Cricetulus griseus: one gene and its partner. The protein of the gene in region 1 interacts with the protein of each later gene in a pairwise test. Links are inferred from orthologs where the notes say so. Each region holds a gene or a part of one and is shown on either strand. Other genes may lie near its edges. The genes, in order: Card9 and Cwf19l2.

Region 1 (3,820 bases):
CTTCCGGGTGAAGCTCATCTCTGTTATTGACCCCTCACGAATCACACCCTATCTGCGCCAGTGCAAAGTCCTGAACCCCGATGATGAGGAGCAGGTGCTCAGTGACCCCAACCTGGTCATTCGCAAGCGGAAAGTGGGTGAGGGCTGCTCCCACACCAGCAGGGCTGTCCCTAGTCCCTCATGGTCCCCACAGACACCTGGCCAGAGGCTGCTACATGCTGTGCCGCCCTGGCCTTGTCCCCACCCAGCTCCATCTACACCTAGGATGTATGCATGAGAGCCTTCTCTCCTCTCATCATGCCTACCTGCTGCTACCCAGAGGAGGGAAGGGGAGTTCCTACCATTGTTCAGGCTGTGAGAGAGCCACAAGAGTGAAGGCAGCACCTTACTCTGCCTTGACTGAGACCTGCAGGGTGCCTTATGCAATGCCCCAGATCCCTCTGCTAGGAAGGGCCCAGAAACGAGGGCTGGGGGTCCACAGCTTGGCACCTCTACTCAGAGCAGTCATCCACTGTCCCACCTGGGCCCCAGAGCTTCTACATACCCAGACCTTGGCCTCAACTCTGTCTCTTCCATCTGTAGGTGTGCTACTGGACATCCTGCAGCGGACAGGCCACAAGGGCTATGTAGCCTTCCTTGAGAGTCTGGAACTCTATTACCCTCAATTATACAGGAAAGTCACGGGCAAGGAGCCAGCACGAGTCTTCTCCATGATCATTGGTGAGAGGCACAGAGTGGGTGGGTGCTGTGAGTGCAGTCAGGTGCCACCAGGTCCTGGCTTCTGTGATTACATCAGAATGAATGAGTCTAATACAAGCCCTGTGGTACATATCAGAGTAGTGGTACCAGTGACTACTCTCAGGTGCTCAGGGTCAGGGCTCCCTTCTCTGCCTTTCCTACTCCCATCCTAAGAACATCCACTAAGAAGAGGTGACCCCTCTATAAAGTATTAATTCCATGGGGCCCAGTTACCACCTAAGGACAGAATCCCACAGTTTCTAGAGGGGACAGAGGTGAACTGATGGAATAGCCACATCCCTATCAGTCCACATCCCTATCATTCATCTCATAAAGATCTTTATAAAGGTAGACAGAGGGCCAGGCATGCTGGCACACACCTTTAATCCCAGGGAGAAGCAGGCAGATCTCTGAGTTAGAGGCCACCCTGGACTACATAGTGAGACCTTTTCTCAGGGAAAAGAGAGAGAAAAAGAGAGAGAGAGAGAGAGAGAGAGAGAGAGGGCCAGCTGGAGTCCTGGCATGTGATAAGTTAGAATCTCAGTCAGTTCATATGTGAGGGGCAGCAAGGCAGACTGGGCCTGGTGAACAGTCCCCAGGGAGCCTTCCCACCAGCTTTCTCTCTGTGGAAGACCAGTAGTGCTCCCTCTGCCCCTCAAACTGCTGGTCTTCAAGCACATACTTCTGGACAAGGACAAGCACAGGGTCTGCAGGTGACAGCCACAGGCTCCATCTGACACTGCATGGTCCCCAGATGCATCAGGGGAGTCAGGCCTGACGCAGCTGCTGATGACAGAGGTCATGAAGCTGCAGAAGAAGGTTCAGGACCTGACGGCACTTCTGAGCTCCAAGGACGACTTCATCAAGGAGCTTCGGGTAAAGGACAGCCTCCTGCGCAAGCACCAGGAGCGTGTGCAGCGGCTCAAGGAAGAGTGTGAGCTGAGCAGCCGAGAGCTGAAGCGCTGCAAGGATGAGAACTATGACCTGGCCATGCGCCTAGCACATCTGAGTGAAGAGAAGGGCTCAGCGCTCATGCGGAACCGGGACCTGCAGCTCGAGGTGATCGCTTGTCCCACCAGCAGGGGGGTGGGGGTGGGGGTGTCTGGAGGAGGCTGCTGCTGACTGGACCACCCACAGGTGGACCGGCTCAGGCACAGCCTCATGAAGGCAGAGGATGATTGCAAGGTGGAGCGAAAACACACCCTGAAGCTCAGGCATGCTATGGAGCAGCGGCCCAGCCAGGAGCTGATGTGGGAGCTGCAGCAGGAAAAGGACTTGCTGCAGGCCCGGGTGCAGGAGCTGGAGGTCTCTGTACAGGTAGGGCTACCAGCAGTGCACACCAGGGGCACACCAGATGGTACAACTGCAATGGCCAGGCTTGTTGCCCTTTGCCACCTCCAGGAGGGCAAGCTAGACAGGAACAGCCCCTACATTCAAGTGCTGCAGGAGGACTGGCGCCAGGCACTGCAGGAGCACCAAGAGCAGGCCAACACCATCTTCTCCCTACGCAAGGACCTCCGCCAAGCTGAGGCCCTCCGGACCCGGGTGAGAGGGCAGGGCAGGCAAGCAGTACCCACTGGGTATCTGGAAGGCAGGGTCTGGAATGTAACTCACTGTCTCCCCTTCACCAATTCCTGGTGCACAGTGGTGTCATGTCCACAGCTAGGGTCATCCTTTCAGTTTACCGTGTGATCGGTGGTGGCTGAGGCCATGGTCTCAGACCAGGCAAGCCTGCTGTGGCCTGGGACTGCAGTGCCCTTCCCATCATCCCGGCTAGCCCGATCTTGAGTGCTCTGAAGGTGTTGCCTGAGTCCAGCCCAGGGCCAGGTGAGCAGTGGAGAGTGGGTGAGGCTGAGTGGTGCTTCCTGTAGTGCGTGGAGGAAAGGGAGATGTTCGAGCTGCAGTGCCTGGCCTTGCGTAAGGATGCCAAGATGTACAAGGACCGGATCGAGGCTATCCTGCAGCAGATGGAGGAAGTCTCCATTGAGCGGGACCAGGTAGGTGTTGCATTTGTGTTCAGAAGATGAGAATGAGAGGAGTGTTTGGGTGCCGGTGTAGAGGCTTTTGAAGCTGTGGTCAACTCATTACTTTATCTATCTATCTATCTATCTATCTATCTATCTATCTATCTATCTATCTATCTACCTACCTACCTATCTATTTATGCCTGAGGTAACTTGGCAATGTTGAAAGATAGAACCTGGAGCCTCTTGTACAAAGACAGGAACATCTGCCTCTCTCACAGGAAGGGCCAGTGTAGCAGGGGAGTCCCAGTGGCGCCTGTGCTGGTTAGGGGAAGGTCAGGGTTGGAAACTTCAATAGAGGAGAGGAAGTTGCTAGCTACACAGGTGGGAGGTGGAGGCCACAGTATTGGGTAGAAGAGCTGGTGGTAACCCCCTGGAATAGGCAGCAGTAGTAGTAGTGGTAGCTCATACCTGTACTCCCAGCATTTGGAGGTTGAAACAAAATAACTACTGTGAATTCAAGGCCAGCCTGGATTACACAGTGAGTTCCAAGCCAGTTTGGGCTACAATGGTAGACCCGGTCTCAAAAAACCAAAAACAACAAAAAGTAGTAGCAACTGAGCCAACTTTGGTGGCACATGCCTGTAATTCCAGGCTTTGGAGGTAGAGTCAGGAGGATCAAAAATTCAAGGCCATCCTCAGATACATAGTAAATTTTAGGCCAGTTTGGGAAATGAATGAAACTGTCTCCCAGGAAACAAAAGAAGAAGCATGGTATTCATTTTAAGAACAGCCATCAATCATGTTCTTTGTTTGTTTTTTGTTTTTTTGAGACAGTGTTTCTCTGTGTCATCTTGGCTGTCCTGGAACTCACTTTGTAGACCAGGCTGGCCTCCAACTCACAGAGATCCGCCTGCCTCTGCCTCCCCAGTGGTGGGATTAAAGGCGTGTGCCACCACCGCCCAGTGATCATATTCTTGATGTCAAGATGCATCCAGAACTTGAAAACATGCCACATGGGTGGGACAGAGACACATACTGACTAGGGATGTTTGACTTCTTGGTTGGACTTCCCTAGGAACTATCTTGAGTGTTGGCCATGGTCATTTCAGCTGCTT
Region 2 (3,252 bases), on another chromosome or scaffold:
CAAATGTTTGTCAATTTCTAATTCATAGGAATCAGAAATGTGCTTAAAGCTGAAAGCGAGGATGTAATTATATTACTAGGCCCAAGATAAATGATAAATGGGTGTTTGTTGGGGACAATTACACAGAAAAATACAAAGAACCACTAGAGCCTTTCCCTGCTCTTCCTATGGGATCTGCTGACCCACCAGAAAGAAGTGCACAAAGAAAAGCCACATCTCAAGCTCCTCTTTTTCCAATTCCTTCTGCCTGAAGCCACACCCAAAGGGGTGTGGCTACTGTTTCAGGTCCACAGACCAGATGCCTACATAAAACCTTGTCTATCTGTTTTTACTTTATTTTTTCTCAATTGTCAATACATGACTATTATCTAAAAATACAAAACTACAGAAAAATATAAATATATGAAGCAGCCTTTTTATGCTTATACTACTTTGTAGACTGATTTTTTAACTTCCTCCTTTTCCTGTTAAATGAGCAGCATTTTGTTGTCAATAATTTTATTTGATTTATAATGATTAAAGAGGACTTTTCTGTTTGTACCATATAGTACCTCATACTCTGAGTTGTGCCTTCCTAAGTATTTAATACCAGTTGTGTGTACTTAAATAGCAATATGTGGATCAGTGCCCAGATGAGTCATGTTGATTTTGAGATGGTATTAGAGGAGAAACTTACTGTGTATTGACCAACCTCGATAATTTCTAGTGTTAAAAGTTGGGACTTAGAGGAAAAACTTACAAAGATGCAAAATCTGCCAGATAAGAAAACAAGAAATTATAGCTCTTTTCAATCAGTATGGAGATTAAAACTCTTCCTTTGTCTCTCTGTCCCTCTCTCCCTCGCTCCCGTGTGTGTGTGTGTGTGTGTGTGTGTGTGTGTGTGTGTGTGTGTGTGTGTGTGTGTGTGTCTGTGTGTGTCTGTGTGTCTGTGTGTGTCTGTGTGTGTCTGTGTGTGTCTGTGTGTGTCTGTGTGTGTGTCTGTGTGTGTGTAAAATGAGGAATAGAAGGATAATAGAGAGCTGATCCCAATGTATTGTGAAATTAACTTGGTAAAGTAAATATTGCTATTTTATCTCACTAGTAATGATAAAAATAAAAATTATAAATTTATTTATATTTAATAAATATTATCATATTGAAGATTTTATAAGTGTATAAACACAGCCACAAATATATGATCAAGTTCTCTTCCTAAGTAAAATATGAACAAAACATACTTTTATTTGTGTAATTGTAGAAAAATTGTTTCTTGGCACTACAAAAATATTTGAATACCTTTTTTCTACTGTCTTCAAGAACAGAAAAGTGTTTGTTTTGATTGTGAATTGCTAGACTTGATGAAGCTCTGTCTGGCTGAAAGGCTATCAGAGTGAAATCTTTTCCTTGGAAAGTTAGGTCATTGGAAATTTGTCATACACATCCTCCTGATGGATGATGATTAGTTCTCTCATGGCAGAAAATTGGAGAAGGCATAGCTTTCCTACTTCATATGTAATTTTTTGTTTACTCAGGTGCCCAGAGGCTTGCCTTACTTTGCTGTAGACTTTGGCCTTCAGGGAGGATTTGCCCATGTCATTGAAGATCAACACAAATTTCCTCGTTACTTTGGAAAGGTATACTCAGAAATTTGATAAAACCCTGAAGATTAGTGGTTTGGTTAATATTTTCACAAGGTTGTGAAAGAAAAAGTTTGAATCACAGAATTTGATGAGTTGTTTTCTATACAAGTTTGACAGAGAAGGGTGTGGGGGTGTGTGTGATATTAACAATAAAAGAAAAAAGTACCAGAATATTCATTAGCCAATCAGAAATTTCATTGTGTAACAGACATTTTTGGACATTGTGCTCGCTCAGTCTTTGTAACTATAATGTTTTCCTAACTTTGGAGTCAGCTTTGTCCTGAAAGTTATGTTATTTGCTAATGTTTATTGAGGGCTTACAGTGTGCCCATCTACTGTCTAAGCAGCCATCTAGTGCTCACAGTTACTCTACTGTCTAGATTTTGTTCTAACATTTGTTGTGAAGATAGGAAAACTCTAAATTGCAAAGGGGTTCTGTGATTTCCCTAGGGTTATGTGCTAAGTGAGAGGACCCAGGTACCACAGGTGATGGTTAATACAGAAAATAAATGGTGTTAGCTCTTCATTTGTAGTTAAGGTATAATCCAGGAAAAATAAATAACTCATTTCACAGTTAGGTTCTGGGCACGTATGAAAATCCCCATCATTTGATTACCAGTAGTTTCTTTCAGGGGGAAAAAAAAATGCCTTCATAAGAGCATATTCCTTAAATTTAGAGGTCTACATACTAAGTATCTAAATTCTCTTCAGGAACTGGAATGAAATTAATGTAGTGTGTGAAATTGGCAAAAATGAATCTGGGCCTAGCTCAAGCCTTCTTGTATCACCTTTCTGTGATTATGCCTCTACAGAGACCAGCCTTGATAAACTCTGCTGAGAGTTCATAATTTCCCACCCTGCTTCCCCCTCTGCCCTGCTCTCATCTGCATGAGATAATCTTCTACAATGAAATTGGGATGTTTCAAGAGAAAACAGCTCCATTAGTTTCAATCCAGAACTCACTATGCTGCTGGCCTTAAATGAATATGCACATTCCAAAATCACATGCATTTTTGAATTATTACTTAAATATTCTCACATAGCCCAGACTGGTCTTGAACTCACCACATAGCTAACTATATCCTTGCACTGCTGTTCATCCGGCCTCCACCTCCTGATGTGAGTTTCCAGGACTGTACCATCATGCCTGTTTTTCCACAGCCTTGTGGATCAAACCCATAGCTTCATGCATGTCTGGCCTGCATTCTACTGCTCTACCAACTTAGGTGTATCCTATCCCCTGTTTGAGAAGTTTGCTGATTTTTCTACAGAATTAACAACAACAAATAAAAAACAAAAACTCAAAAACTTTGTTTTCACTGCTTTGAACAATCCTGTTGTTCCCTAGAGATTTTTAACTGCTCTTTAGCTTTCAATTTATAGCTCTGGATTCATAGTCTTAAAATGTGTTTCCAGAGGAAAGGACATCACTATGACCCATTGTTTCACATTTTAAATTTTTATTGGAAGAATTGCCTCCCCTTCAAATATTACTCATGCATTTCCCCATGTCTCAAGAAATACTTTGGATCCTCCTTTGACTTGCTGCCCAAGAAATTACTCAGAGAACAATGGAAAATGGTCTCTTTTGCAGTAAGAGAATGAGAACGCATCTTGCACTCACATAATGCAT

What was found.
Region 2: the proteins of Card9 (region 1) and Cwf19l2 interact in binary tests that used the Homo sapiens proteins (3 or more experiments, as listed by UniProt). The two-hybrid records come from large-scale screens. The link is inferred for Cricetulus griseus from reciprocal best matches to the Homo sapiens genes CARD9 and CWF19L2.

What each region holds. Positions count from the first base shown.
Region 1 is NC_048599.1:137,744,096-137,747,915, reverse strand, and holds part of Card9 (caspase recruitment domain-containing protein 9), read left to right. Parts: coding exon 1-137; intron 138-582; coding exon 583-720; intron 721-916; exon of another isoform or gene 917-1,492; coding exon 1,493-1,797; intron 1,798-1,875; coding exon 1,876-2,055; coding exon of another isoform or gene 2,056-2,139; coding exon 2,140-2,283; intron 2,284-2,609; coding exon 2,610-2,735; intron 2,736-3,820. UniProt on the Homo sapiens protein: Adapter protein that plays a key role in innate immune response against fungi by forming signaling complexes downstream of C-type lectin receptors.
Region 2 is NC_048597.1:118,136,689-118,139,940, forward strand, and holds part of Cwf19l2 (CWF19-like protein 2), read left to right. Parts: intron 1-1,511; coding exon 1,512-1,613; intron 1,614-3,252.